Saccharomyces cerevisiae S288C: one gene and its partners. The gene in region 3 interacts genetically with the main gene of each other region. Each region holds a gene or a part of one and is shown on either strand. Other genes may lie near its edges. The genes, in order: COX5B, YGR016W and YGL262W.

Region 1 (3,165 bases), on a different chromosome or scaffold from region 3:
GCTGATGTTTGACATCGAATAGTTCCCTCTTGATCAATGGTTTTCTATATATCGGAGATTGGAACTCTTCAAATGTCAATCTAACATCCTTAAGACTTTCCAATATTGTTCCTAGGTCTTCCACATTTGGCTGCACAACTCCAGCTTGCGACAAGAAATCCGAATCTAATGGATTGATGTAAGCAGTGGTATTTTCGTTTTCTTTGCTGCTTTCAACGAATGTTTCAGGTTGAGCAACAAGCTCATCATCATCAAAGTCATTGGAAGTAAAGCCGAAGGAAAATGACATATTTTAGCTACACAACACTTCGGTTCTGATTGTCCTTTTCCTCCCCATAGAATCGATGACTTGAACATTTTTATTTTTTAGATTGGACTTTTTTTTTTTCCAATTTTCCATGATTATTTTTTTTCTTCTTCGAAGTAACAATGAATGATATTTGCAGAAGAAGGTACAAGGAACTAAGTAATCAACCTACTGAACTAAGACCAAATGCGTATATATGAAAACAATCTACTTATACCCCAAACACGGAATATACGAAACAATTTTATTTTCCTCGTCTACTTATTTAGATTGAACTTGAGAATAACCTCCCCAAGGATTGGCATTTTTTGACTTCAGATACTCGTCTGATTTCAACTGCCATTCCCTGTTCATAGTCTTTGGAGTTTCAGGATTGGCTAATAGTCTCACTAAACCAAAGAGCCCAAATGAGATTCCTAACCCTAAAAATACTCCTTTAGTTATAAATGCAACATCGCCTTTTCCGTGTACAGGTCTTCTAGGTCCCCACTCGCCGTAGGATATGTACCAAGCTGCTTTGATTTCCTCGTTATTGAGAGTTTTCCATGGAAGCTTTTGACGTTCTGTCAAATTATCTGCAATCTCTTTCTGTTCTAAGTTTGGCATATTTTCCCATCTTTCGGGCAGATCTGTCAATGTTGCCTTCGAAAGGGCCTTTGTTTGAACAAATCTTGTCCCAGTTAGCCGTGCCCCTTTAGTAAGAGAAGTACGCAACACTGCAAAACTTGTGCTTGTACACCTCGAATGTTAGTAAATGGATATCTTTTAAAACTCAAAACAAAAATCAGTGTTTGTTATACATGCTCTTTACAATGAATATGTGGCGTTATTCCATTGTGAAAGTTTCCTGCAAAGAATATTAAATTGAAATAATTGGTCTATTGTTTAATGCAACAGTCATTTATAAAATATAAATCAAATGAAATTCGTCTTTTTTCGTCTTTTGCACGGTATTTTCTGAACCCCTCAGTAATTTTAAGGGGTCCATGACATTTTTTCGAGTACTCGTTCGTTGCCTTATCGAACAATACAAAATCAAAAAAAGAAATTGGTGAGTGTCATGCCGATATAATAATGACAAAACAGTACGATTATATGGAATTATGTTAACATGAATAGTATTTAATGAATCGAAAATGCAACTATGTATGAGCATATGCCAACGGACCGATGAATTGTTTTACCAAAATGGTTCTTTGGATGTCTGCTGGAGGACGGAGGATATGCTCATACGGTGTTGAAATTTAACCGGTAACTCTCGAGGTATTTTTAGAGAACGCTGTTTGCGCGTCGGCTGCTGCGCTTTGTTCAGCTTATCGTTTCTCCATCGTGCAAATTCGTTTATTGATATTTGAATCATATTTCCTTCAATTTCTTTTCTTTTTGCGTGGTTTTCAATAACAACGTTATCCCATTTAATCCACGCCATGGGCAAACTAACAAATTTTTTGTACTCCAAAAGCTCATACCCAATCTTTGTGTCCAAATCAACCCCATCAAAGTTTACAACATATCTTTTATTTTCCATGTTGTTCTTTTTATCATCATAACTACCTCCATACAGGAAAATGAATTTCAACATATTCCACAATGGAGTCAGGTGCGAGGGATCGACGGGAATCTTCTCAGAAGTTGGTTGGTTGTCCTTTGAGAGCAAGTCGATATCCTTCAACAATATCATTACTTGCAAGTCGAGCACAAATTTATCGTTTTTTTCGTCTACAAAATAATATAGCGGCAAAAATCTTTTGTAATCAAGTTTATCGTTGAAGTTAATAATCTTCAGTCCTAACGGATATAAGTCCCTTACTGCCCTTCTATAAGAGATTTCTTCCATTTCTTTTTCCCTTTCCATTTTTCTTGCTTTCTCTAAAGTAGCTTTTTCCAATCTTTCCATTTCTAAGACTTTCTGCTTCTCCTGTTCTTCGATCCTTTTTTTCTCATCTTCGGCCAGCTTTTGTAGTAGTTCCTGTTCTTTTTTTCTTTTCTTTTCTAATCTTTTCTTTCTGTATTCTTCCTCTTCCTTGAGTCTTGCTTCTCTTTCAGCAGCCGTTTCTTCATGTATTTTACTTATCTCTACAGATTTTGCCTTCTTTGGAGAATGAGGTTCCATAGAGAGTGGTGAGATACTTTTTAATTTTTCTTCATCTTGCAAGGCATTTGTTTTACGTTTTTTCCAGTCCAATGAGTATTGAGTACCAACATTTTCATTGTCATCCAATCTCTTGCGCGAATCCGAAGTTGTAGATTCCTTGACATCACGATCGTTATTAAAGTCATCGTCTGCCAGATTGAGCATCCTCGTATCGTCCTCTTCGTCTTCAATTCTAGGAGTGGCACTTCTTCGGCTTGCTAATATGGGTGATTGCGTTTTCTCTCTCTTTTTTTCATGTTTATATGTTTCATTATTATTATCATCATCATCATCATCATCATTATTATCTTCAGAGTGCTTCTTCAAATAGTTATTTATAGCATTTTCAATCAATTGAATTTCTTCACTGTTTGTTATTCCCATTATGCTGTTTTTGGCATAGTACAAAGCGGTACGACCCTTTTTATCTCTTTTGGTTGGATCTGCACCTGCCTCTAATAGCAGTTTAACAGTTCCAAGATGGCCACGACCTACAGCTACCATTAAAGCGGATGTTTTATTATCCCTTGAAGTTTGATTTACGGGAAATCCGAATGCCAAAAAGATACTTGTAATATCTTCATGGCCACACTTAACGCTTTCGAAAAATGACCTTAAGTCTATCTTACCACCATTTTCTACATACGTACCAACGTATGGTAAATGTCCCTCCTTCGAAGCTTTAAACAGTTTTTCTTTTCCCGCTCTAGAAGTAACATCTGTC
Region 2 (2,942 bases), 520 kb from region 3:
TCCAATTGACATGGTTTTGCTCGCTCACCTCATTGGCATCATCTACTTAATTATAATTCTAGGTACATTGGTCATGTTGTTTTCTTGATAGATATGCAACGCCTCGAAGACTATTTAGCAAGCTATTATATTGAAATTAGAGACTTCTGCACTAGATAGCCTTTTCAAAACATACGGATAAACTGATCTTTTAACGTATCTGCACTTTTGTACGAAGCTGGAAAGTTCCGAAGAAAGTGTTAGCTCCAAACTGAATCCTCTTGTAAGCTATTCTATGTCCCCTTTGACTAGGTTAGTCTTTTACTGGATTTTAAAGCAGATTCCTGTGACGATGATTTTGGAATTAAAGCTATATATATGTATGCTTGAATAAGCTCGTAGCAGTACTTTTTGGCCTTGTTCACAAATAAGGAGCTGCCAACCAATCAATTTGTAATATTAGTAATAAATATTCCGGAATATACTAACCAATGAATATTACAATACGTCGCGATATAGAACTAAGCATTTTTGTATTTGTATTTCAAGCATCTTAGATCTGCGATTTCATCTTCGATATTTCGAGCCCATCTTTTCACAAGCACAGCGACCCAGAATAAAAACATTGGAACTTGCAAACAGAGCACCGTTTTTTTATCTTCGACCACATGATTGAAACTTATCCAAGCCATAAGTACTAGTAAAATAATGTTTATTATGTTAATAGAAAAATTGCTCACTCTTAACTTAAACTTTTTGAACAAAAGATAGTCGTTTACAATATCATATCTAAGTGTGATGCACGAACAGATCAAAGAATTAGCGCCAGCAAGAAGTGCTAACTTAATATACCCTCGCGATTTTCTTACGAGTATCATTAGCAGTCCGCCATATAGCAAATACAATATGCTTAACAGGTTTATGTACAGCTTATTTGTGATGTGAGCATTAGTCTCAAATTTTTGTATGAGTTCTTCCTGCTCTTCTGTATCTAATGGTAATATGGATACATCTTCTTGATCAGATTCACCGTCATGAGTGTAGTCAGAACTCAAGCTTAAGATCTTTCTATTGAATCTTCTTAATCTGGACATGATTGAAATATTTGCTTTATCTTAGTATCCTGTTTAAAAATTATTCTAAACTCAACCTATCATAGAAACCAGCCTTTACTGAATACCACAGCGCGTCTTTTGGGGAAACTGTTTTTGTCTCATGCCAAGGTCGAGACGTATACAAACTGCAAAATAAAAGGAACCGTGGGAAGAGGGCTTACAAATGTCGAGACTAGCGCATAATAAAGCGCTACCTTATAAAATAATTGTCGATTTATCATTCCATAGAACGCGTTTACCCTCAGATGTTTCATCGCTAATAAAATTCGAGCAAAGACCTGCAATTATTAACATCCATGGCCTTTTGGGCTCACACGTGATGTTTCATTCTCTCAATAAGCTTCTTTCAAGGAAGCTTGACGCGGATATTTTTTCTGTTGATGTAAGAAATCATGGCATTTCACCAAAAGCAATACCTTATGACTACACTACACTGACCAATGATTTGATTTATTTTATTGAAACTCATATTGGCTTGGAGAGACCTATTTATTTACTGGGATTCTCTATGGGTGGTAAAATTGCATTATTAACCACATTGTACAAGAATATTAATATACGAAAGTGTATATCAATTGATTTACCGCCTTATGAAACCCCAGAATTAGATCCCATGATATTACAAAACTATGACTTAATAATGCGGATTATCCGCAGAGATGTCAAGATTTTAAGAGGTTCCCCCAGCTGGCAGAAAAAAGTTCTTGAGCTTTTCAAAAGTTTGGAATGTAATAAGAGGAAATGTGGTGGAGCTGTGGCACTCTACTTTGCCAACGGTTTTCTTTCTGTAAAATCCAATAATGTACACCAAGCACAGTTACACTATGAACAACAACAGCATGATCCTTATATAAATTACTCAATGCCTCTCTCCAGCATGCCGAACCTGTTGGATGAAGTGAAAAAATGGCCGGATCTATCGAACCAAAGGGACTTCTTCCAAAAAGGCACAGCCAGTCGTAAAGTTTTATTCATGAAAGGCCTGCAGTCTAACTTTATTAACAATGATTATTCCCTCCTGAGGTATAACTTTCCCTGTGCTGATGTCCGAGAATTTAATACTGGGCATAATTTACTGTTGGAGAATCCAGAGGACTCATTCAAATGTATTCTGAACTTTTTTGCGGAGGAGACGCTGGATTTTGAATAAAATCTTGATGTACGTAACGCACTTTCTTCTCGTGTCAGGCCCAAATCAACGCACACAGCAGTGCTTCGATCTTTGATTACAAAGTAGATAATGATAAATGGAATAGATAAAAGTATTAAAACAACGTCTCCTTGAAGGAGAACTATACATAAGATATGAAATAAGTAGGTATCGTTATAAGTTTATAAGGTTATGCAAGCGGAGAAAGTCTCTGCAGACATTGCTATCAAACTTCGTTCCAACCCAGGGAGTTTTGGCTAGCAATTGGTCTTGAAATTTTTGGTATGGAACTCGATGTATTGTGCCTGGTTGGAGTTGAGTCATTATTTGTCAACCCGTGACCATAGTAACTATCATCCATCCAATTTTGAATTCGCATAGATTGTGTTATGGATTCTTGAACGCTCATTCTCTTTTCATTATTGTAATTTTTCTCTCCACCAAATTCACTTGAACTGATACTGGAAATTTCTGGGTTCTTGATAATTTCTTGACTTTGAATCCGCCTTCTTATGATATACTTGAAAGCAAAAATCATGAATAAAATATATAAGCATCCACCAACAACAACGCCGATAACTAAACCAATGATTTTTTTCTTTGATTTGCTAGAAGTGGATACGTTGGAGTTAGATTTGGATGAATATTCCAAAGTACCGGCATCTTGATAGGAATTTCCGGAAGATGAAGACACACCG
Region 3 (2,733 bases):
ACTTACATGTTTGAGCAGAAAATTTGGAATTCGCCAATACTGTTCTCAGATGGTATTGATTGTGAAAAGTTTTTTAAATGGTATTTCAGTACCCCTGTATCTTCGCAAGCGTCTTTGTCAGTTGGTTCCACTGATTTTGAACTCTGGCCATATATAAAAGAAGCACAATCAGCTTGCAATGATGTGTAATTGGTAAAGATATTGATATACTATTCTTAAAGACCAAAAAAAAGCTGTTAATAACCCAAGTTTAAACATTAGTAGATAATGCAATATTTGATGAAGTCTGTAGAGTGCCACTATACATCGTAATAAAATTACACAGTACGTGCTTGTACGGTCGCCATATCATGAGATTACTTGAAGCTTCCTTGAAGCTCATACCGTAACCAGTTTTATACGTTTTTCTTTCCTCATACCAACATCCTTTAACGTTTGTTGAGAGAAAATGCGGTAGTTTTTGTAAAACACCTTACGTGAAAGATATTATTACTATTTCAAGACCAAACGCGTAACGAATGTATATTCTAGTACTGCGTTAAGGTATGAGTTACCCATAATAAATTTTATTACTATTAACATTTTCTTGGAGTACTTCGTTTTCTTACTTGATGTACGTTGCTATACAGTACGCATTAAAGAAATTGCAGCTATCGTCGTGTTTGGTTCATACGGTTGAGTTAATATTTCAAAATAATGTCCGTAATAATTATTACCGACATCTGTCTGCCTTTTATTAACATATCTCGCGTTCAACCTGTGCGTTGCTTATCGCTTGAGTAGGGGCGAAACACCTGTTGAAATCTTACGGTGAACTTTCACTATTTAAAGGACTGCTTTTCTCCAAGAGTTTTTATTATACAGAAATATCGTAGCAGTATCCCAGCGGGAGATAGATCCTTTTCAGAAATTAACGTTCATGACTGGTCAAGAGAAAATAGGCGCTAAGCGTTTTCAGATCTGCTGGAGAGTTTGGAGACGCAATATACTGCTATTCATCTTTGTATTTGCTGTTTCCTTTTATTATTTTCGTTCAAGAGATGCAGAAGCTATAGTTAATACTACGGTAATTGCCTCACCTGTGGTGACTAGTTATCTAATGAAAGGCAAAACTACTATTGGGCGTTAGCAGGTGGTGCCAGTGGATTTTCAATTACGCTAGCAGGACTCTCCGGTGCATACGCCGCTAACAAATGTACAGCAGATTCAGGTAGTACTCATGCTGGACTGGAGCTGTAGTTACATTGGTAGCAGATGCTTTAGATGGAGTTGCTACCACTGCTGATACGATTGCTGGGGCAGCGGCTTTGACGGCAGCAGCGGCAAAAAAGATCTACTGGATATATTGCTACTATTGCTGGATTAGACTTCCATTCTTCAAGTCCTCGTAATTTCACTGCAATCAACACCACCATGCAAACAGTTGGTCTTGTATTATCAGGAGCATTTGACTATATGAACACATAGAAGGCTAATGGCTTAGAAAAGAGAGAACAAAATAACACAGTTACAGAAATGCAGCATGTTTGATATTTTAGTAGTCAGTTGGGTCTTCATGTGCCACTCACATGCGTAATAATGTGACTGAATTGGTCAACAGTATAATAGGTGTTCAAACACCTGGATCGCTACCAGATACTCTTTCTGGGGCACATTCATTGCAGAGACGCATAAGCTATTTTGACGTCAATTGGATATCATGGAATTGGGACAATGTAAATGTTGATCTTAATAAAGAGGTAAAAAAAAGTAGGCCCCTCCTTGGGGAGGAGGACGATCAATGCATGTTCGGTTGGTTCGCAAATAATCCAGGGTGGAAATATTACTGGTCGGTAACTGATAATCCTGATCCAGGATATAAAGAGAATTACTCTGACATTGGAGATGAAAATGCTGTCCACGGTGAATTATATTTTAACACATATGGGGGGTTGATGGCTTCTGTAATGACAACAAAGATGGTGCTCAATGCGAAGAGACAGCTTGTGGTTATTGATACAATTGTGGTAAAGGCCATCTGCGATTATGTTATGAAATATTGGAAAAAAAAGGTTAACCTTACTACGATATCATTATATTTGATGTTAAAGTTATAAAGCCAGACATTTTCAATCTTTCTTTAAATCAATGAAAGAAGATGCGCAAATATTGAAAGCATTGACTACTAAGACTTAGGAAAAAGCTTCTGTTGACGATTTATAATGTTATATCAAATAATTAAATTTATTTCCTAGATTTTTGAATTGTGAGAGACATCCCTAGCATGATTTTTTTTCACATATACTTTCAATTTTAATAGAAATGGAGCCGTCAAATTTAACTTATTTTCTATTTTTATAATTGAAAATTTTATTTATTCATCTATTCTACATTTTATTTTGGTGTTGGGATTTTTTTCCGGCTTAAATATATGGTCAGATCTTTTATTTATATTACACTTATCTACAATTTGTATTTATATCATCAAAAAGAGCTTTTTATTTCTATATTTTATTTTTCGTTACTTACCAATGTCTATAGAATTTCGTTCGTAAAGGCGTTTGTCTCTAGTTTGCGATAGTGTAGATACCGTCCTTGGATAGAGCACTGGAGATGGCTGGCTTTAATCTGCTGGAGTACCATGGAACACCGGTGATCATTCTGGTCACTTGGTCTGGGGCAATACCAGTCAACATGGTGGTGAAGTCACCGTAGTTGAAAACGGCTTCAGCAACTTCAACTGGGTAGGTTTCC

What was found.
Region 1: mutations in YGL262W (region 3) and COX5B together harm fitness more than expected from each alone (negative genetic interaction), as found in Saccharomyces cerevisiae (one large-scale study listed by BioGRID).
Region 2: mutations in YGL262W (region 3) and YGR016W together harm fitness more than expected from each alone (negative genetic interaction), as found in Saccharomyces cerevisiae (one large-scale study listed by BioGRID).

Annotation. Positions count from the first base shown.
Region 1 is NC_001141.2:153,169-156,333, reverse strand, and holds COX5B (cytochrome c oxidase subunit Vb), read right to left. Parts: upstream 1,113-3,165; coding exon 1,112-1,112; intron 1,024-1,111; coding exon 569-1,023; downstream 1-568. Other genes in the region: HPM1 (protein-histidine N-methyltransferase), read right to left, coding at 1-289; HOS4 (Hos4p), read right to left, coding at 1,488-3,165. UniProt on the Saccharomyces cerevisiae protein: Component of the cytochrome c oxidase, the last enzyme in the mitochondrial electron transport chain which drives oxidative phosphorylation.
Region 2 is NC_001139.9:520,392-523,333, reverse strand, and holds YGR016W (uncharacterized protein), read right to left. Parts: upstream 1,074-2,942; coding exon 501-1,073; downstream 1-500. Other genes in the region: YGR016C-A (uncharacterized protein), read left to right, coding at 1-88; EAT1 (putative hydrolase), read left to right, coding at 1,258-2,244; MSB2 (Msb2p), read right to left, coding at 2,471-2,942.
Region 3 is NC_001139.9:3,744-6,476, forward strand, and holds YGL262W (uncharacterized protein), read left to right. Parts: upstream 1-1,568; coding exon 1,569-2,096; downstream 2,097-2,733. Other genes in the region: COS12 (Cos12p), read left to right, coding at 1-189; seripauperin PAU11, read right to left, coding at 2,547-2,733.